3 linked regions of the Struthio camelus genome follow. The protein of the gene in region 2 interacts with the protein of the main gene of each other region in a pairwise test. Links are inferred from orthologs where the notes say so. Each region holds a gene or a part of one and is shown on either strand. Other genes may lie near its edges.

Evidence for each region.
Region 1: the proteins of SETDB1 (region 2) and TSC22D1 interact in a two-hybrid assay, tested with the Homo sapiens proteins (2 studies listed by BioGRID and IntAct). The link is inferred for Struthio camelus from reciprocal best matches to the Homo sapiens genes SETDB1 and TSC22D1.
Region 3: the proteins of SETDB1 (region 2) and methyl-CpG-binding domain protein 1-like interact in binary tests that used the Homo sapiens proteins (3 or more experiments, as listed by UniProt). The link is inferred for Struthio camelus from reciprocal best matches to the Homo sapiens genes SETDB1 and MBD1.

What each region holds. Positions count from the first base shown.
Region 1 is NC_090942.1:190,717,618-190,724,754, forward strand, and holds the start of TSC22D1 (TSC22 domain family protein 1), read right to left. Parts: upstream 3,002-7,137; coding exon 135-3,001; intron 1-134. UniProt on the Homo sapiens protein: Transcriptional repressor. Acts on the C-type natriuretic peptide (CNP) promoter. Acts to promote CASP3-mediated apoptosis.
Region 2 is NC_090971.1:2,523,200-2,530,595, forward strand, and holds the start of SETDB1 (histone-lysine N-methyltransferase SETDB1), read right to left. Parts: upstream 3,064-7,396; 5' UTR 2,934-3,063; intron 1,151-2,933; exon of another isoform or gene 1,075-1,150; 5' UTR 1,064-1,074; coding exon 852-1,063; intron 500-851; coding exon 327-499; intron 1-326. Other genes in the region: ARNT (aryl hydrocarbon receptor nuclear translocator), read left to right, coding at 6,765-6,858. UniProt on the Homo sapiens protein: Histone methyltransferase that specifically trimethylates 'Lys-9' of histone H3. H3 'Lys-9' trimethylation represents a specific tag for epigenetic transcriptional repression by recruiting HP1 (CBX1, CBX3 and/or CBX5) proteins to methylated histones.
Region 3 is NC_090979.1:628,854-636,214, forward strand, and holds the start of methyl-CpG-binding domain protein 1-like, read right to left. Parts: upstream 3,004-7,361; 5' UTR 2,947-3,003; coding exon 2,837-2,946; intron 1,557-2,836; coding exon 1,442-1,556; intron 865-1,441; coding exon 742-864; intron 631-741; coding exon 557-630; intron 1-556. UniProt on the Homo sapiens protein: Transcriptional repressor that binds CpG islands in promoters where the DNA is methylated at position 5 of cytosine within CpG dinucleotides. Binding is abolished by the presence of 7-mG that is produced by DNA damage by methylmethanesulfonate (MMS).

The sequences.
Region 1 (7,137 bases), on a different chromosome or scaffold from region 2:
ATAAACAATATTTCGAATTAGACAAAAATATCACAGTGCTTCATCTCACAGAACAGCTGCAATAAGAGCTGCAAGTTAGTGCATCTCAAACTATCGTACCGTGTATCTTTTAGTACAGTTACAGGCAATCTTACCTCTCATCCTCACCATCAACAAGATGTGTTGTCAATGGCAGTACCTTCAGCGGAAACAGGGAAGCAGAGGATGGCATGCTGCTACCACTGCTGTCTGAAACAGCTGATGCTCCAACACCGCTGTCACCACCGGCAGCTTGAGGTAAACCGACTAAGGAAGGTTCTGTAGGACGTCTGCCATCTTCAATTTGGCTTACAATTGACGGAGCTACTGATTGTGCAGGGAACTGGGTAGAGCTTAGTGGCATCTGCTGTGGCATACTCTGTGCTACTGGCATACCTATACTCGTTGATATCAATGGAGGCTGACTAACACTTTGAGCCAAACTCCCATTCTGTACAGCCGACGCTTGTGCTATGCTCTGCGGCTGCCCCAAACCTATAGAAGCAGAAGGTATGCCAGGAGGTACAGCTGAACTAGCTTGACTCGGTGCAGCAACAGTGCTGGCAGAAGGTATAGGGCTAACGGCGGGCAGCTGCTGGCTGGTCATTCCTTGGACTACAGACTCCACTGCTTGGGCCTGTGGCTGTACAGGTAACAAAGTGTTTTGTTGAGCAATGACCATTTGCTGAGGAAGGCCTGAAGCACTAGCCTGTAATCCCTGTTGCATTATGCCTGTCTGCACAGGCTGCACTACTTGTGAAGATGGAGGAGCAGCTGCTGACGGCATAACTGGGGGTGGAATTTGGTTTGCAGCAGATGGTGGTTGCACCACAGTGGCTACACCTCCTTGCTGCCCAACACCGAGCATTTGGCCACTGGTACCTACGCCAGGTATTGATGCCGGAGCATGTGCAACAGGCTGAGCTGGAGCAGCAGCAGGATGTGCTTGTACGGAAGGCTGCATGCTCGGTGCCTGAGCAACAGGAACCGGTGTGCCTGCTCCCACTCCTGCAGAACTGGGCTGCATGGCAGGCGCTGGAGTCTGAAGGATCTGCTGATGCTGAATGTAGTCTGGCATAGCCCCCGTAACAGAGTTTTGGTTTACTGGTTTCACGTGACCTGCGGTCATCTGGGTAGGAACTGTTTGTTGCTGCTGCTGTTGTCCATACTGCAACTGCTGCTGTTGTACAACTGGCAAAGGTTGCCCAGGCTGCGTTGGCTGAGAATACGGGAGCTGCTGTTGAGCCATACTTTGAATGGCAGGTTGTTGGTGGCCCAGAGACGGGGATACACCTAGTATATTAACTGGGGCTGGCTGAACCCCAGTAACAGTGGTTAGACTGGCCTGTGCAGGAGGTGGGACCCCTTGCTTCTGCTGTGGATAGCTGACTTCTTGAGAATGCAGCTGTACTTGTGCAAGCTGCGATTGAGAAACACTCTGTGGTATACTAGATGCTGGAATTGCCGGAGGAGCAGCACTGCTAAAATCCATCTGCTGCGGACCCACACCTTGAAATGCTTGCTGCTGTACCACAGTAGGTGCTCCCATTTCTCCACTTCCCACACTTTCTGTATAGTGACTCAGTGTGCTTACATTGCTGCTAACAGAACTCCCACTGGTGCTCTCCCTTTCAGAAGTCACTTCAAGCGGGTTTTGTTTTATCGTCTCTACTGCTTTGTTTACTGCTACTCCTTCTGTAACTGCAACAGTGTTTTCTTTATCATAGAATTCAGTGCATGTCCATCTACCTTTTTTGAAAGGTTCAGAACTAGAATCTAATTTTACAACTCTAAACCTCGATGTGCCAGCTGCGGGCTGCTGCTGGCTTGATCCCACTGCCATTCCTGCAGCTGGATTAGTAACATTGTTAACGACATTAGAGGAAGCACTCGTACCATTGCCAACACCACTCAAGATATTCACACTAACATTGCTGCTAGTTCCAGACAAAGCATTTACGTTACCAGTACTTGGGATGTTACTTAAATTTATAGTACCAAGCATGCTGCTTGCCACACTAGAACTACCACCACCCAAATTACTTAAGGGACTAGTTCCGGTAGCAGGACTTACACCTAAATTGCCAGGAGTACTTGTAGTGCGGATATTAGACATGACAGATGCAGGGGAACCAGTGGATGATGCAGCAGAAACTGGTGCAGTTGATATAACATTGTCAGAGCTTCCAGTTGTTGAGAGTTTTCTAAATGATGGACTAGGTGGTGGTCCTCCAGAAAGTGGTGTACTGCCCACCCCAGGATGCGATGGATGATGGTGTCCGTGATGGTGGTGGTGAAGATGGTGGTGATGGTGAACGTGATGGGGGTGAACGTTTCCATTGATCACAACGCTCTGCTGTGGGTGATGTGGCAGAGGAGGGTGCTGCTGAGGAAGATGAGGCTGGTTTGGAGAAACAGCCCCAGGAGTCTCTGCCTCCTGGAAGTTATTTAAAGTCTCTTCAGAGGAGCTCCGCTCCGGTTCTCCCAAGTCAGTGGCCCTGGATAAAGAAACATCCAGGATTTCTGAAGACGACAGGTCTTCAGTGTGGGACTCATCCAGGTCATCGTAGCTTTCCGTATCTTCAGCTATGCTGTTATTAGAACTCATACTGGCTGATATTTGAGCAGGGGTCACACTGGTAATTTGGAAGCCACTTTTCTTTTTCATTTGAGCTCCAGTCTGTGCAAGAGGCTGCGGCTGGAGCTGAGATTGCGAGAGGAGGTTCAGGCTTTGTGGAGGAGGGGGTGTCGGCTGTGGACCCGCCGATGAAGATGCTGCAGGGGACGGAGGCAGCGGCTGGACCAGCAAAGGCGGCTGATAATCCTCGGCGGCGAGGGCAGCGCTCCCAACACCGGTACCTGGCGCAGTGGGAGCAGTAACGCAGCTGCTGCCGCTGCTACTGCTGCTGCCCCTTCTAGGAAACATTGCCGGGTGCGCCATCTTCCTAGCACTAATGTCTGCGGCTGAGTCAGGCTGGTGCATTGTATCGGGTGTATTTAAAGCGTGCAATCCCCCGGTATGGAGAGAGACAGAGACACACACAGACACACACACACACACAGACACACACACACACACGCACAGTTAGCTCGGCGTTCACGGCAGGGCAGCGAGACACCACACACAACCCCCCCCCCCCGCCCCGGCTCCAGCACACACGGGCTGAGACGGCTCGGCACTGCCAACCACCCCCCCCGCCTCCCCTTCCCCCCCCCCCCCGAGACAGGGAGGGGGCGAGCACCGGTCCTCCGCCGCCTCTCTGAATGTGACACTTCCAATCCTTCGCCATTCACTTTCTCTTCCCCCACCCCACACCCCTTTTCCATTACAACCCCCCCCCCCACCACCAGCAGCCCCGCTCCTCTCCCGGGGGTGGGCAGCAGGCGGAGGAAATGCCCGCGTTGGCCGGGCAGCCCCGGGGCCGAGCCCCTTCCCCCCTCCGCTCCCCGCGGAGAGGCTCGGCCCCGCGGCGCCCCCCGCCATGCCCCTAGTAGCAGCAGCAGCAGTAAGGAGGGCGCAGATACGTACAGGACCGGCACACGGCAGGGCGGCAGCAGCAGGCTGAGCCGGGCAGGGACATCCCCGTCAGTGGCAGCCATGGAGCTGAATCATTTTGGGTATTCGCGAGACGGGATGAGGAGGGAAGAAAAGCCGCGGCGGCTCAACGAGAGAGTCCATGAAAGGCAAGGAGGCAGGAAGGAGGGGGACGCCAACCAGCCAGGCGGGCGGGCGGCCGCGCTCTCCTCCCTCTGTGTCTGGCTGTCCCTGGAGGAGGCTCCGCTCCACACGCTCTTCCTTCCCCCCCCCCCCCCCCCAGCCGCCGCCGCCGCCTCCCCCTTTATAACAGGCGGCACCGGCTCTTCCTCCGCAGCACCGCGCCGGGAATTAGTCCTCCGCCCAAATGTGCGTCTGCCCTTTTCTTTCTCTCCCCCCTCCTCCTCCTCCTCCCCGCTCCGCGTCTCTCTCCCGGCTTCCCTGCCACAGCGGGTCTCTCGCCGGCCCGGCCCCGTCTCCTCGCACGGCGCGGGAGGAGGAGGAGGGCGCCGCTGCGCGCGGCCGCAGCGGGGAGGGGAAAGCTCGCCAAAGGGGAGGGCAGGCGACAGACAACGTAAGATGGCGGCGGCCGCGCATGCGCGCCCCGCCGGCAGACATAAAGCCCGTCTGGCCCCAGCCGGCGGAAATAGGCTCGGCTCGAGCGGCGGAAATTGCCGAGCGGCGCCGAGCCCGGCGGAGGGGGGCAGGGAAGAGGAGGGGGGCGGTGGCAGGGTGCCCCTCCTTCCTTCCTTCTCCCGGCCTGGGGAGGGGGCGAGAGGGCGGGCGCCCCCGGCCCCGGGTGCCTCTCCCTCCGCGGGGCCGCAGCATGACTCTGCCTCACATGACCCGCCGCTGCCTCCCTTCCCCCATCTCCGCCGCTGCGCTGCAGATTTATTCAAGTTATTCATCACCTCCGTCCTCCTCCCATCTCTCGGTCCAGAATATTCCCGCCCCCCCCCGCTTCTCCTCTTCCTTCTCCTTCCCCGCCCCGTGAATGGGGGAAACCTGAGGCGCCCGCCCGGGGGCTGCGCTTCCCTTTGTGCCGCCTCGGGCTGAGTCCCCTCGTGCCCCGAAATGGCCGCCCGGCCCCGGCCCTGGCCCGGCGGCGGGGCTCCCCCCCGGGTGGGTGCAGTGTCGCAGGCGGCAGCCGTCTCTGGGGGACGTTGCCCGGGGCACCGCGGCTGCCGCGAGCGTCGAAAACCGCGCGTCACCGCGGGCAGCGCCGCCGAGGTGCGAGCGCAGCGGCCCGGCGCGAGGCCCTTCCGCCCGGGGCGGCGCGGACGTGGAGGCGCTTCCCGTGTGGGCGCGTCGGAAGCCGAGCCCCGGTTTCAGGAACGCTGCCGTTGACGGCTGTTCTTAAAATTGTGCGACAAGGGGAAGCCCATCAGTCTTGCCTCTCGCCGTTCCTGCGCCGGCGTCTCGTGAGGGAGGAAGGACCTCGTGGCCCGCCGCGGAGTGCAGCAGCGAGGCTCGACGCGCCCCTCGGCCACTTCCCTGCCACGTTGGTGGCTACCTGCTGCTGTAGCTGCTCCCTGTCCAAAATTTAGATTCTCCTGATCCTTCCTTGGCTACCATCTTAGACACTAGATGTCTCCGTGTTTGCCGAGGGATTTTCCTAAGCGTCTACATGTCTGTTAAATTTAACTTAACAGAGCGGCCCAAGGGTGATGAGTGCCGAGAGGGTCGGTATCTTGTTGCCACACAAACCTGACTGCAATTCGTGCTGTTCGCATTGCTCCACCTCTCTTGCCTGCAGGACGCTCTCTAGGAGCGTTTTCACAGCTCACTAAATGGCACGTCCTGCTCTCCTAGAAAGACAGAAAAAGGTTCATGCCCTCTCCCCGTTTTCTCAGTGATCTGGTGAGTAGGATGTTCATCACTATCAGGAGGGCAGAGGTTCGTATTTCCCATCTTCAAGCAGCGCATCCTAATCTCCAGCTATAGACTTTCGTGAAGATGTCTCAATCACTCCTTTGAAATTGTTCCAGTTTGCTTAGAACAATTAAATGTTCACAGGACTTGAGGGAGGCTGGCTCAGACTAATTCTATAGCCTGGTTATGAAACCTGCTGATTAAGACAGGCAACAGGACAAGGGGAGAAGGAGCTGAGTTTGGTGTTTACTGCAGTGAATATTTAAGTATGTCATGAGGAGTGGTAGAGCTCCAAGGGGAGACGTTGTGAGAATCCAACCTATTATATCATATAGCTGAGTCATTAGAGAGTTCTTCTGGGAGATGTAGATTCAAGTTCCTCCAGGCAGAAAGGAGATTTGAGGCTCCCATATTCGGTGTGTGGGGTTTAATTACTGAGATTCTGGAAAAGCTGTTTTTCTGGCTCCATTTTGTGAAGAGGGAGATTCAAGGTCGCGTGGAGCTGGGGCTTTTGTTGCCTGTTCCTGAAACAGGAGATCTGAATATCAGCCCTCCATCTTGCCTTTTCCTGTTAACTAGCTCATCTAGTTCTCCATTTAGTGTGAGGCCAGGAGTGGCTTTGAAAATCACACCTTTTGCAGCCTAATTTCTTTTATATGTGGAATGCAGACGTTCACTTGGGTCTCTAGGAAGATTTGCAACCCTTGGTCCTTTCACAGCTCTAGCTCCCTGTCTATATACAGGCAGTGCATAACACTAGGAAACGATTAACACACAGTTAATCAAGATTTTGCCTTTTTTTGAGAACATAACAGTATATTTTTTTTTAATCTGATAATTGATCGGATCTTCTAACACAACTAACTTCCTGGTATGCCTGGGCCAGTGCAAGACAAAACAGCCTGAATACCCTACCAGCTGAACCTATCAGGAGCTCCCTACAGGAGGGTGTCTTCATGTAACCCCCCCACAGACTTCAGCAAAGCATCACAGAGCATCACATCGTGATCTGTCTACATGGAACATGTTGCAACACTGAGACCTTATGTGTGTGTTTAATGAGATACTCATATGCTGAAAATTATGTGTATATAAACATTTTTGGGATGAGAGCCCAAGACTGCAAGCTAGCTTCCATTATAAATTCCTGTCCTGACAGCTTATAACTTTCCCAGAACAGTTTCCTTGAGGAATTAAGTCTTCTATGATTAGTCCCAGCTCAGAAATGATTTTTCTGAATTTTTAAATAAAGTCCAGCTACTTTTAAAACACATTGTCTATGAATATGTGTAAATTTTTTTAAAAAAATTAAATCTGTGCATAAGTGGCTCCAACATGATTGAACTGTGAAGTCTGTATGCAGCTACTTTCCGAAGAGTAATAGAAAGCAATAAGCTTGGAAAAGAATTAAGAGAGGAGTATTATAACTGGTTAAACATTTACTTTTGCACATGCACACTAAATAACTTCTATTCATTTTAAATGTAGGTAGTTACCTTTCATTCTGTTGGGCTAATAAGCTTATTAGAACAACATGTTGGCTCTACGTAGCTCTGTTCTTACGTAATAAACTGAAGGGAAAAAATGAAATCTAAACAACAGTGTTAACTTCTGTGGTTGCTGGCCAGTTAACAATCCAAATGACAGTCTAGACAAAGCACATCTGAAGTAGCCTAGATGATAAAATATTTTCACAGGTTCCTTATAAATAT
Region 2 (7,396 bases):
GCTTCCCCAGAGCAAAAGCAGCATTTGACGGGACAACGATCAGGCAGACAGAAAAAGGGAAAGGTCCCAGCTCGGCACCTGAACAAACCTTAACTCAAGAGCCATGGAATAGTTACAGGCCCAGACAGACCACGCAAGAGGTGATGTTCCTCGCACAAGCCAAGGGCATTTCCTCTCTGATCCTCTTGTGCTTAAGGACCAACAGTGCTTATGGGCTACTTTACAACATCTTCACCCTGATCCCTACTCATTCCCTTCCTCCTCCAGGACACGCTCGTATGTCCATCCCTCCCCTCAGCACCACGCAGCATAACGGGATACTGAACTGTGCTTCCAGCCCGAGTCAATGCTCATGACATCATCATCGTCCTCATCTGGGATCTCGATCACTTCTGTGGCCTTAGCAGCCAAGTCCTCGTCCTCAGAACTGCTCTCACGATACTGGAGGCCCAGCTTGGAGTACAGATCTTTTACTAATATCTCACATTTATCAATGGCTCTGGGGAAAAAAAAAAAAAGAGGAGCAGAGACAGGAAAAGACAAGGTGAACCCAGCTGTACATCCCACAATAACACAGAAACAAACAGGTGCTGCTGGAGACCTGCTAATTAAATATAACCATTGGTAGGTGAGGAAAGAGTATTTGTGCGAAGAATTCGAAGCCACAGGATGAGGAATAATTTTAACTGTTCCTCAAGAACCTCATACAAGTGAGCTGACGAAGAACTGCAGCATCAGTGCACACGGACGGGAAACAGGCAGTGCTCAAAACACTGGACCCTGCCATCTGATCTCCTCTGCTCCTTCAAGGCCTGACTTGGACACACAGCCACAATTCCAAGTGCGCCCACCTTGAAGCATCATCAAAGAGCCGGTCGACGTGAGCCACCTCCTCTTCCTTCTGCTTCACGCACTTCTCCAGCTCCTCCAGCTGCTGCTTCCTCTGCTTCACACACTCAAACTTCTCCAGCTCTTCGTCAATGATGTCCTGGAGCTCCTCCATGGAGATACCTAGCTCCTCCATAACTTCTTGTTGTAGCTCTTTGATCTCCTGGGAATCCATTTCTGCTGCACCTGAAGCCACAAGGAGCTGAGAAAAGCCCAGCAAGATTCTATGGCTCTATCACAGCCTCCACTTTTAAGAGCTGATCTGGAAGATTATGTTATATATTCTGTTAAGACAGCATTACAGAGAGCCAAAAATAACCAAAGTGCAAATGACCCACGGAGCTGAAGGCTCCTAGGACAAGCAGAAAGTATTTTCTCTGATCCCTGCATGGATCCTGCTGAATACCAGACCCTTACGCTAACCCTCTTCTCCACAACACCTGCGAAGCGTTCCCAACTCTCGGACACCTCTGCCTGGCCTGGAAAAACCAAGCAGACACCTCTCCCAGTCTGTGCTACAGCTTCGCCTTCAAGCAGCAGCCCAGAACAGCTCCATCCCTCTCCTTCCTAGGGTATGTAAAGAGCATTATAACATCCATCCCCAGCCCCAGGGAGGGCCCCAGCGGCTTCCCCTCTCCAGGTGTGCAGCCTGTGGCCCCCTTCGCTCTGTGCCTGGCGATAAAGCGAGCAGTCTCCTCTATATTCAAGTCCGCTCTCCTGCCAGCAGCCCCTCTCTCATCTCTCCCTGCACTCTCCCTGTCTGCATCCAAGCAAATACTTATCTCCAGCCTCCCTCACTCTCCTGCTCCCCCATGCCACCTCCCATCCCAGGCCTCCCCCCTCTCTCCCATTGCCCTGCTCCAGCCCCATCCAGATTTCTCTCCCCCACAGCATTTCTCTCCCAGCTGCTCCCAGGCCATCCCCAGATGCAAGCCCCATATACCTCTCCCCCACCCCCCACACCTCCCAGCTCCACTCCCACCACCCCAAAAACCTCCAATTTCCCCACAGCCCCCCATTTCCCCAACCCCCCTCACTGGCCCCATCTTCACCCCAGTGCCCTCCTCATAGCTAGCTCCCTGCCCAACAGCCCCCAGCTGCACCCCATCCCAATACCCTGCTCCTCCTCCCCACAGCCCCCCATCCCAATACCTCCACAGCCCTCCTCCGCCCCAAGCCTCCATCAGTCCCTCAGCTGCCAACACATCCTGCCTCACAGCCCTCACCCTAACACTCTCTCACCCCACAGCTCCCCTATGCCCACAACCACCTATCAACTCCCAGCCGTTGATACCCCCTACCCCACAGACCCCCTACGCCCCCACCCAGTACTCTCCATCTCTTGTTCCACTGCCTCTCAAACCCTCTCCTCACTCCAAACATCTTCTCAGTCCCACGCCACCTCTCACACCAATATCCTCCTGTCCCACAGCCCTTTCCTTACCACTCAATATCCCCCCCAGTCCCATAATACCCTCACTCCAATACCCCCTGCCCTACAGCCATCTCCTCGACCCCAACATCCCTCCACAGCCTCAGCACCTCTCAGTCAGATTTCCCCTGCCCCACAGCCCCCATTACCCTCTGTATCCCCTCACAACCTCCCAACATCCCCTATGCCAATAACCCCTGCCCCACAGCCCCCTCCTTGCCTCCAAAAGCACCAGCACCACCAGTAACCTTTATCCCAACAGCCCAAGTCCTACAGCCTCCTTACCCCCAATATCCCTCCCACATCAATACCCTCTGCCCCACAGCTCCCGCCTTGCCCCCAATAACCCCATCACCACCCCTAGGACCCCCCACCCAGATTCCCCCTGCCCCATAGCGCCCCTTTACTCCCAATATCGCCTCACAAACCCCACTCCAGCACTACCTGCCCCACAGCCCCTTCCTTGCCCCCAACAGCCCCACAACAGACCTCATCCTGATGCCCCCCGCCCCACAGCCCCCTCCTCACCCCTAGACCCCCTCTCCCCGATGCCCCCCGCCTCACAGCCCCTCCTCGCTCCCAGGCCCACCCCCCCCGGGCCAGCCACACTCACCTCACCCCTAAGGCCCGGGGCCGGCCGCGACCCCGATTACTAGAGAGCAGGCGGTGGGGGGGGGAGCCGGAAGTCACTGGCGTCACTTCCGGTAACGGCAGCCCAAGGAGCCCAATTCTCCCCCTCTGGCCGGCACGGCGCAGAGACACGATAGTGCGCATGCGCATGAGGCGGACCGCCGCTCGCCAGCCCGGGACTTGCGGGCAGGCCAGAGCGCATGCGCAAAGAAGCAGGGCGCTTTTAAAGGGGTAGCGCCCCCCTGCTGGAGCCCGAGCCCTGGGGTGCTGGAGAGATGGAGGGTCCTGGGGCAATAGGGGATCCCGGGGGTAATGGGGGGGCCCTGGGGAGATGGAGGGTGCTGGGGGCAGTAAGGGGTCCTGGGTATAAGGAGGGGGCCCTGGGGTGATGGGGAGTGCTGGGGGGTCCTGTGGGTAACGGGTGGCCCTGGGGTGACTGGGGAGTGCTGGGGGGGCCGTGAAGCGATGGAGGTGTTGGGGTTGCCTCAGGTGCTGGAGGGTCCTGGGGTGCCAGGAGCCCCGGGGTGACTGGGGAGTGCTGGGGGGGCCGTGAAGCGATGGAGGTGTTGGGGTTGCCTCAGGTGCTGGAGGGTCCTGGGGTGCCAGGAGCCCTGGGGTGACTGGGGAGTGCTGGGGGGCCGTGAAGCGATGGAGGTGTTGGGGTTGCCTCAGGTGCTGGAGGGTCCTGGGGTGCCAGGAGCCCCGGGGTGACTGGGGAGTGCTGGGGGGGCCGTGAAGCGATGGAGGTGTTGGGGTTGCCTCAGGTGCTGGAGGGTCCTGGGGTGCCAGGAGCCCTGGGGTGACTGGGGAGTGCTGGGGGGCCGTGAAGCGATGGAGGTGTTGGGGTTGCCTCAGGTGCTGGAGGGTCCTGGGGTGCCAGGAGCCCTGGGGTGACTGGGGAGTGCTGGGGGGCCGTGAAGCGATGGAGGTGTTGGGGTTGCCTCAGGTGCTGGAGGGTCCTGGGGTGCCAGGAGCCCTGGGGTGACTGGGGAGTGCTGGGGGGCCGTGAAGCGATGGAGGTGTTGGGGTTGCCTCAGGTGCTGGAGGGTTCTGGGGTGCCAGGAGCCCTGGGGAGCCCTGAGGGTGCCAGCGGGCCCCGTGGGGCTCAGTTGACCTGTTCCTCCTCCCAGGTGGCGGTGGGGATGGCGCTGTAGGGGTCCACCACGAGCCGGGCGCACCGCACTGCCATGGCCAGCAGGAAGAGGCACATGAGCACCACGAAGGCCACGGTGATGCCCTTGTCCACGTCGAGGGCTGGAGGGCTGGTGGCTGGGCCAGGCTCCATGCAGGCAGCCCTCAGGTGCGTAGTCCCTGGCCCTGGGCTGTCGGCCCCAGCATCACCCGGCTCGGTTTGGCCCAGCTTTAAAACATCCCCGCTATTGGTTTTTTTTTTTTTTTTTTCCACAGCCACTTTGCCCCAGAGCAGCAGGACCCCCGGAAGCATTAGGTGCACTGAGCATGCCAGGGCTCAGTTGAACCTTCGCAAAGTGATGGCTCAGATTGGAAACGCGACAGGTGCCCGTGGAGGCTGGGAAAAGCCAAAAGTGGCGACAGTGGAGGGTCTCCAGGTTGCTTAAGAGAGATGCTGGCGGACAGACAGATTTGCACGAGGTAGGGGCAGAGGTAGAGGCTTGGCAAGGCCGTCAGGCACAGCCCTGCGGCCTGAGCTGCATGTACATCTATGCCGATATATATATGTATATGCCTATATATACGTATTAAAGTGCCATATGCACCAGGATCAAATGAGCTCAGCCCCAATGACGGCACATGCTGAAATAGGACCCGCAAAGTCCCGTAGCACCCATCGATCCCGTCCCTAGCAGCCCCAGACATGCCATCTGGGGCTGTTCCTTACCTCCTGGCAGGCGGGCGGACAGACGGACTGGCCACTCTGCCCTGCTCGGTGCCGCTTTGGGGCCATGGCACCATCCCCGGGGGTTCATGAATACTGCAGGAACACGGCGGCGTCGCCTTTCAGGCACTCGCAGTAACCAGGAGAAACGATCTCGCAGATTAAATTATCGCCCGCTCAGGCTGAAAGTTTTTCCAGCGGCTCCTTTGCGCTGTGGGTGAGAGCTCATGGGCGGCAGGTGTCCCGGCTGGGTGCTGAGCACCCTCAGCACCCACCAATGGAGCCAAGGGTGACCCTTTCAGGGCCTGTGGCCCCCCAAGGGCTCTGCAGGGTCAGGCCAGGCGATGGCCCCCCCCCTTGCATAATTTGTCAGGTTTCTGCCAGCGGGACGAAGGGCAGCGCACGAGGAGGGCGCCGCGCCGGGAAGCGAACCGAATGAGCCCGTTTACAGCCAGGAACCCCCTCCCATGCTGGGGAGAGGCGGGGGGACCCCAGCTGGCCCCTGCCACCATCCGGCCCCACTCACGGGGGCTTCTGGAGGGCCAGGCCCAGCGTGTGCTATGAAAATTGGCTATAATTAACCACTTTACCACTTTCCTGCCACAGCCCGACCCCAATCCCAGTCCCAGTCCGCCAATCCCAAATTCAAACCCCATCCCTAAACTCAATCCCATCCCCAGCCCGAGTCCAAACCCAATGCTAGTCAAAATCCTAATTCCATGTCCATTTTCAGTCCCAGTCCCAATCCCCATAGGGTTCCTGTCCTCCGACAAAAAAAAAAAAAAAAAAAAAGCAACATAGAACGTCACCGAAACCGCCCTTTAAGTCTCCCACTGGCCCCCCCCACTCCACACACCCCCGCTTTGGCCACGCCCCCGCCCCGCGAAGGGGGCGGGACATGCCTGGGGTCACCCTACCCTGCTGGCAGAGGCTGTGCTGCCTGCCTCTTTGCTCCCACCCCTCAGCCCTGTCTAGGCCAATGGGGATGCTCCGCCTCGTCTCCGCCCCGCCCCTCTGGACGGGCAGGCTAGGCTGCGCCGCAGCGCCCCGGGTTTTCCTGCGCCGCCATCTTGGCAGTGGCGGCGGTGAGGAGGGAGGAGGGGAGGGGGGGGGGGAGTCTGCCCGCCCGCCCGCCCGCCCCGGTTATGGCAGCCACCGCCGCCAACCCGGGTGAGCTGGAGCTGCTGCGCTAGATGGCTTGCGGGGGGCGCGGAAGCAAGCTGCGGGGGCGACAGGGCTCAGGAGCTCTGAGGGGGGCGTGGGGGGCTGGGGGACCGGGCCGTAGAAGGGCAGGGCCAGGCCAGGCCGAAGGGGGTCGCGCAGGGCGCTGCTGAGGGGTGCGGGGCCGAAAGAGCCACTGAGAGGGGCTGGGTGGGCCCGAGGGCTTTGGCAGGGGCTGGACTAATGGGGCTGTTAAGAGGGGCTGGGCCAGGCCAGAGGGGTCGTTGCGAGGGGACTAGGGTGGACCAGGTCCCGGCGGGTGGTTAGGGGGGCCCAAGGGTGTCGCCTGGGTGAGGAGGGTTGGGGGAGCAGGGCTGAGGGGACGGGAGCCTTGGTCAGGGGCCTTTGGGAGGAGGAAGGGGTGTTCTCTGGGGGCTGGGAGGTTTAGGGGCCTGGGCTGAGCTAAGGGGCTTGGGTGTTGGGTGAGGGGAGCCTTTAGGGGGGTGAAGGGGGGTTATCTCTAGGGACTGGAAATTATAGAGGTCTAGGCTGAGCTGCAGGGCCTGAGTGCTGGGTTGGGGGGCCATTTGGGTGTGCTGGGCTGGGATAAGGGGTGTCATTTGGGGTACAGTGTCAGGAGGTGTGGGGGAGGGATGTCAGGAGGACTTGATGGGGTGGCCCTGGGAGAGCAGATGAGGGAGTTGGGGTGGGGAAAGGATGCTGAGGGACCCAGCTCAGGGGGAGGCTTGGGGTGCTCGGGAAGGGCTTGGAGAAGTGGGGTGGTGGAGGGATTGTTGAATGGGGGAAACTTGGAAAGGGGGCACTATGCTGAACGGCAGGTTGTTTTGGAAGAGGAAAGTGAGCTGGAGGTGCTGGGGGAGAGAAGAAGATGGTGTGTGAGCTAGCGTGTTGGAGAGAAAGATGTTTGTGCCTGTTGTTGCTCCCTTAGCTTGAACGGCTGGCGTGGGCCATGCGCATGCCTCATCCGCGTACATGGTGCTGGGGTCTGGTTTCTCTCATAGCTCCTCTGGCAGGGAGGGAGGCCTGGTGGGACTCACTTGCATTTGTTATCCCTAATGGCTTATGTTGTTTTTTCGGTCTTTTTTGCTATATGTTTCCTTGAGGTTTATTTGAATTGGCTTGGTGTTTTGAAAGGGACTTTTACAAATCTTACCTCCACCTGTTTTTAAACTGCTGAGCAGAATAGCTGGTGCGTGCCTGTCAGAAGAAAGCAGAATATCCTTTCAACTCTTGCTCTCTCAAGTCAGTAACAAAGGGGTGATCCTCTGCCTGGAGGAAGCTGGAAATCTATGATGTCTGATGCTTGCTGAATGAAATTGAATCTTTCAGGCTTTATCAGATTTCTGGCTAAACTGCACTGAAATCAGTATGTATCTGAAATAACCCTGTGTCCGTGAAGTTGTTATGGA
Region 3 (7,361 bases), on a different chromosome or scaffold from region 2:
ATCCGGGACCTGGCCCCAGGGGTCTGGGATCCCCCCCCCCTCCCCACCAGGGGCCCAGGCGTCCGGGACCTGGCCCCAGGGGTCTGGGATCCCCCCCCCTCCCCACCAGGGGCCCAGGCGTCCGGGACCTGGCCCCAGGGGTCTGGGATCCCCCCCCCCTCCCCACCAGGGGCCCAGGCGTCCGGGACCTGGCCCCAGGGGTCTGGGATCCCCCCCCCCCCCCACCAGGGGCCCAGGCGTCCGGGACCTGGCCCCAGGGGTCTGGGATCCCCCCCCCTCCCCACCAGGGGCCCAGGCGTCCGGGACCTGGCCCCAGGGGTCTGGGATCCCCCCCCCCCTCCCCACCAGGGGCCCAGGCGTCCGGGACACCCCCGCCCCCCGCAGTGACTCAGGTGTCCCCCCAAAGAAGGGGCCCAGGCGTCCGGGATGCCCCCCACCAAGCACCGAGGCGTCCGGGACCCCCTCCCCCCTCCCCGCAGGCGTCCGAGAGCGCCGCCCCCCCCCCCGCAAAGCCCCACCCCCCTCCCCCCAGGGGCCCCGGCGTCCCCGCACTCACGCCACCACGCGGTCCTGGGGGGGCTCCGGGGGGGGCCGCTTGCGGGTGCGCCGGGGGAGGGCGGGGGGCGGCGGGGGGGGAGGGGAGGGGGGCGGGGGGGCGGCGGCCGGGGCGGGGGAGGGGGGCAGCAGCAGCAGGGGGGCGCCGGCGGGCGAGGGGGAGGGGGGCGGCGGCCCGGCTGCTGCCGCCGCGGCAGGGGGGGGCGGCAGGGGCGGGGGGGCCGGGGCGCCCCCCTCCCCCGCCGGCCCCTCCTCCGCCGGCGCCAGGGGGGGCGCCGGGGGCGGGCGCCACTTGGGGCCCTTCCTGGCCTGGGGGGGGGGGGGGAAGAGAAGGGTTAACGGGGGGGGGGCAGGGCAAGTTTGGGGACCCCTCCAGTTGGCCCCGCCCATCTTAACCCACCCCCCCCAGCCCCCAAATTTGAGGCCCCCCCATTTTGGGACCACCTCCCTCCATTTTGGGGCACCCCCAGCCCCCATTTTGGCAGCCCCCCCATTTTGGGAGACCCCCTCAGCCCCCATTTACGACCCCCCTCCATTTTAGTGACCCCCCCACACCCCCCATTTTGGGCTCTCTCCAATTTCAGCCCCCTCCCAGCTCCCATTTGGGATCCCCCTATTTTGCCCCCCCCCCAATTTTTTGGGACCAGCCCCCATTTTGGGGCCAGTCCCCCCCCCCAACACCCCAGGGCGCTCCAGCCCCACCCCCAGCACCCAGATAACCCCCCCCAACCCCTCAGGGTGCCCACTTCCCCCCACCCCCATTTTGCCCCTCTGCGCACCGCAGCCTCCCCCGCCGGCTGTGGGGCCCCCCCTTCCCCTCTCCTGGGTGCCCCCCCCCCACGTTTCGGGGGTGTCCCCCCCCCCTCCCCGGGTTTCGGGGGCGCACCTTGACAGCGCCGGGGCGCTCCAGGCCGTGCTTGAAGTCAAAGTTGCCGAGGTCCCGGCCCGGCCCCAGGAACCGGCTCAGCTCGATCTTGCTGCGAAACTTCTCCCCTGTGGGGCTGCGGCCGGCACGTCAGCACGGGGGGGGGGGGCCCAAAACGCGGGGGCCCCCCCAATCCCCCCTTTGCTCCCTCCATACCCAGGGAGCCCCCAAACCCGGGGGGGGGCAGCCTTGAAACCTCTCGAAGGGGAACCTTGAAACCGCCAAGGTTGGGAAGGGAACAGCCTGGGGAGCCCCAAGTGCTGGGGGGGGGGGATGTTGAAGGGGTCCCCAAAAACCCCTGCCCTTCCCCAAAATCCGGGGAGCCCCTCAAAACTGGGGGAGACCAAAACACCCGGGGGGGGGGGCCTCGAAACCATCCAGGAGGAACAAGGACAAAGCCTTGAAACCACCAAGAAAAGTTAAGGGAAGGTGGGAAACAGCCTGGGGAGTCCCAGAAGTGAGGGGGTGGGGGAGCAAGGGGGACCTCAAAACACCGAGGGGGGCCCCAAAACCCCCTGGGGCCCCCCAAAAACCCCGGGAGCCTCCCCAAAGCAAGGGGAGCCCAAAAACACTCAGGGAGGCCCTTGAAACCAACCACAGATGAAAGAAAAACCCTTAAAACCACCAAAAGAAACTGGGGTGGGAGGGGGCTGGAGGGCTTGGGAAGCCCCAGAAGCAATGAGGGGGATCTGGGGGTGCCCCCAAAACCCTGAGACCCCCCAAAAAACAGGCAGCCCCCCCAAATCAGGGAGAGCCCCAAAACACCTGAGGGAGGGGCTCTTGAAACCACCCAAACACAAAAGCTCGAAACCGCCCAGGAAAGCTCTGCAGGGGGGAAAAAGGGCCTGGCAGCCCCAAAAATGATGGAAAAGGTATCGGGTTGGGGGGGGGGGCAAAAACCCAGGGGAACCCTAAGAGCTTTGGGGGGAGGTGAAATTGCCTGGGGGACCCTGAAACCGGCGGGGGGCCTTGAAACCACCAGGAGAGATTTGAGGGGGATTGAAACCACCAGGGGAGCCCCAAAACTGCAGAAAGCCCATTGAAACAGTGGGGCGGAACTTCGTGTATTGGGGGGGGGGAAGAGGGGGAAGGAGGCAGGCACACGGGGGGGATCCCCTCCCCCAAATCAGGGGTGGGGGTGGAGCCAGGGGCGGGGCTAGGCCTGGCCCCACCCCACCCCCAAGCTTGGTACCCTGGGTAGAGGGGGGGGGGGATACCCGGACACCTGGGTCCCTTCCCGGCTTTGCGAAGCACCTCGGACGCCTGGGCCCCCGCCCCGGGGTGTGGGGAGGGCGGGGCGGGGCAGGACCCAAGCGTCCGGGGAGGGACCCAGGCGTCCGGGCAGGGCCCTCCTACCTCTGGTAGTAGGTGTCGGTGCGGCCGCAGGTGGCCCCGGACTTGCGGAAAGCCTCGCGCCGCTTCCAGCCGGGCCCCAGCGCGGGGCAGTCGACCCAGCCCTCCGCCATGGCGCTGCCGGCGGCGGCGGGGGGGGGCTGGAGCGGGGGGGGGGCTCTGCCGGGCTACTGCGGGGCCGGGAGGGGGGGGGGGGGCTCAGCTGGGACCCAGGCGTCCGGGCTGGCCCTTCTGCCAAGCCCCGCCCCCAAGCGGCCAGGCCCCGCCCCCGAGCGACTTGCCCCCGAGCGGCCCCGCCCCCCCCGGCTCGCATCCCCCCCCTCCCCCACACCAACAGGGCCCAAACCGCCCCCCCCCCCGCACTAAGTGCCCTTTTCTCTCGCAAATTGCCCCAAAACTGCCCCAAATCACCCCCTCCCCTGCATTAACTGCCCCCAAACCGACCCCTCCCCAGCAGTAAGTGCCCTGTTCTCTCAGAAACTGCCCCCCGCCCCCACTAACTGCCCCAAAACAGCCCCTCCCCCTCACACATTGCCCTTTTCCCTCACTAACTGCCCCAAACCACCCCCTCCCCCTCACTAGCTGCCCTTTTCCCTCACTAACTGCCCCAAAACCGCCCCAGCCCCACCAGGAAGTGCCCTCTTCCCTCGCTAGCTGCCCCAAAACTGCCCCCTCCCCCTCACTAACTGCCCTTTTCCTTCACTAACTGCCCCAAACTGCCCCCCGCCCCTCACTAACTGCCCTTTTCCCTCGCAAACCGCCCCCAAACCGCCCCTCCCCCTCACTAACCACCCTTTTCCCCTCATAAACCGCCCCAAAACCGCCCCCTCCCCCCCAAACCACCCCTGCCCCTCACTAACTGCCCTTTTCCCCTCAAACCGCCCCAAAACCGCCCCCTCCCCCTCACTAACTGCCATCTTCTCCTCACAAACTGCCCCAAAACTGGCCCAAACCGCCCCCTCCCCCTCACTAACTCCCCTTTTCCTTCACAAACAGCCCCAAAACCTGCCTCCACCCCTGCTAACTGCCCTTTTCCCTCACTAACTGCCCCCAAACTGCCCCCTCCCCCTCACTAACTGCCCTTTACCCCTCACTAACTGCCCCAAAACAGCCCCTCTCTCACTAACTGCCCCAAAACTGCCCCAAAACAGCCCCTCCCCCTCACTAACTGCCCTTTTCCCTCACTAACTGCCCCAAACTGCCCCCTCCCCCTCACTAACTGCCCCAAAACTGCCCCCTCCCCCTCACTAACTGCCCCAGAACTGCCCCAAAACCGACCCCTCCCCCTCACTAGTTGCCCTTTTCCCTCACAAACTGCCCCAAAACTGCCCCTTTCCCTCAAGACTGCCCTTTTCCTTCACTAACTGCCCCAAACCGCCCCCAAACCGCCCCCTCCCCCTCACTAGCTGCCCTTTTCCCTCACTAACTGCCCCAAACCGCCCCCTCCCCCTCACTAACTGCCCTTTTCCCTCACAAACTGCCCCAAACTGCCCCCTCCCCCTCACTAACTGCCCCAAAACAGCCCCTCCCCCTCACTAACTGCCCCAGAACTGCCCCAAAACCGAACCCTCCCCCTCACTAGCTGCCCTTTTCCCTCACAAACTGCCCCAAACCGCCCCCTCCCCCTCACTAGTTGCCCTTTTCCCTCACAAACCGCCCCAAACCGCCCCCTCCCCCTCACTAGTTGCCCTTTTCCCTCACAAACTGCCCCAAACCGCCCCCTCCCCCTCACTAGCTGCCCTTTTCCCTCACAAACTGCCCCAAACCGCCCCCTCCCCCTCACTAACTGCCCTTTTCCCTCACTAACTGCCCCAAACCGCCCCCTCCCCCTCACTAGTTGCCCTTTTCCCTCACAAACCGCCCCAAACCGCCCCCAAACCGCCCCCTCCCCCTCACTAACCGCCCCAGAACTGCCCCCGGCCCCTCCGTAACCGCCCCTCCCCCCCCCACACACACTAACTGCCCTTTTCCCCTCCCAAACCGCCCCCCGACCGCCCCTCCCCCTCCCAAACCGCCCCCCGACCGCCCCCTCCCCCCGCCGCCCGGTACCGGCCGGGGCGCGGCCCCCGCGGCGCGCGCGCGCTCCGCCATGGCGCGGCCCCGCTCGTGGCGCAGCAACGGCCGCCGCCGGCGCGAGGGCACCGCGGCCAGGGGAGGGGAGGGGCCGCGCCGCGCGCCGGAAGCGGAAGCGAAGCCGCCCCGCCGCTGCCTCTGATTGGCTGGTGGGTCGGGGGAAGCTGGTGGTGGGGAGGGGGGGGGAGAAGGGGAGGAGGCGCACGTGACGCCGCCGCGGCCAATGGGAGGGCGGCGCGGGGGAAGGGGCGGGGCCTCCCCCCTCCTTCCCTCTTCCTTCCAATGGGCGGGAGGGAGCGAGCACGTGACGGCAGCGCGGTCACCTGAACCGCCACCACCACCCCACACGGCTGGGAGGGGGCGGAGCTATGCAAATGAGCGCGGCGGGGGGCGGACCACGTGGCGCCGGCCGCTTCCCTTCCCCCCCGCCCCGCCGCCAATATCCCCGCGGGAGCCCGCGCCGTCGGACACGTGACCGCGGGGCGAGGGGGGGGCGTGGCTATGCTAATAAGCACCGCGGACAAGCCGTGCGGGGCGTGGCTACGCTAATGAGCAGCGCGGTCGGCCCGCTCGGGGGCGGGGCTATGCAAATGAGCGGCGGCACTGAGTCGCCGAGGGCGTGGCTACGCAAATGAGCGTCGTACCGAGCGCTGGTCGGTCCCGCCCGGGGGGCGGGGCTATGCTAATGAGCGGCGCCCCCCCCCCCTCCAAAGCCACCGGGACCCCCCGAAATCCAGGAAAAAAACCACTTTCAACACCAATTTTATTGTGGGGGGGTGGAAGGCCCCCCTCTCCCCTAGAACCCCCCCAAAAGTGGGTAGGGGGCCCTAATAGGGGGGCTCAGGACCCCCAAAATTGGGTGGGGGGGTCTTAACGGGGGGGGCTCAGGACCCCCAAAGTTGGGTGAGACCCCCCCAAATTGGGTGGGGGGGTCTTAAAGGGGGGCCCAGGACCCCCAAAATTGGGTGAGATCCCCCCGAAAGTGGGTAGGGGGGCTCAGGACCCCCAAAATTAGGTGAGATCACTCCAAACTAGGTGGAGGGGTCTTAAGGGGGGGCTCAGGACCCTCAAAATTGGGTGAGATCCCCCCCAAAAGGGGGTAGGGGGGTTCAGGACCCCAAAATTGGGCAGGAACCCCCAAAATTGGGTGGTGAGGGTCTTAAAGGGGGGCCCAGGACCCCCAAAATTGGGTGAGACCCCCCCAAAAGTGGGTGGGGGGGTCTTAAGGGGGCTCAGGACCCCCAAAATTGGGTGAGATCCCCCCCCAAAAGGGGGTAGGGGGGTTCAGCACCCCAAAATTGGGTGGTGGGGGTCTTAAAGGGGGGCTCAGGACCCCCAAAATTGGGTGAGATTCCCCCCCCCAAACTAGGTGCGAGTGGGACCTCAGGACCCTGAAATTGGGCAGGGACCCCCAAAACTGGGTGAGAACCCCCCAAACTGGGTGGGGGGGTCTCAAGGGGGGCCTCAGGACCCCCCAAATTGGGGGAGACCTCCCCAAAAGGGGGTGGGGGGTTCAGGACCCCTAAATTGGGCAGAACCCCCCCCCCGGGACCCCCCCAAAGTTGGGTGGTGGAGCCCTAAGGGGGGGGGCTCAGGACCCCTAAAATTGGGTGAGATCCCCCAAAATTGGGTGGGGGGGCATTAAGGGGGGGCTCAGGACACTCAAAATGGGGTGAGACCCCCCAAAATTGGGGGGGGGAGCTCAGGACCCCAAAAATAGGGCAAGACCCGCCCCAAAATCAGGTGGGGGGGTGCAGATGGGCTGTTCAGGGGGGGTTTAGGGGCCGGGGGGGTCGTGGGGAGGGGGCAGGGGGAGGTTTTGGGGTAGATTCCGGCGGTTTTGGGGGCGTCAGGCGGCGGCGACGGTGCGCAGGGCGGTGGTGAGCGGCGCCGAGCGGGCCGCGGGGGACCCGGGGGGCGATTTGGGGCGGAAGGAGGCGGAAGGGGGGGGCGGGGGGTTCGGGGGGGTTTCGGGGGCAGTTCGGGGGGGGTTTTGGGGGTGTTGCCGGGTGTTTCGGGACCGTCAGGCGGCGGCGACGGTGCGCAGGGCGGTGGTGAGCGGCGCCGAGCGGGCCGCGGGGGACACGGGGGGCGATTTGGGGCGGAAGGAGGCGGAAGGGGGGGGCGAGGGGTTCGGGGGGGGTTCGGGGGCGGTTCCGGGGGGGTTTTGGGGGTGTTGCCGGGTGTTTCGGGACCGTCAGCGGTCGGCGGCGGTGCGCAGGGCGGTGGTGAGCGGCGCCGAGCGGGCCGCGGGGGACACGGGGGGCGATTTGGGGCAGAAGGAGGCGGAAGGGGGGGGCGGGGGGTTCGGGGGGGTTTCGGGGGCGGTTCCGGGGGGGTTTTGGGGGTGTTGCCGGGTGTTTCGGGACCGTCAGGCGGCGGCGACGGTGCGCAGGGCGGTGGTGAGCGGCGCCGAGCGGGCCGCGGGGGACACGGGGGGCGATTTGGGGCGGAA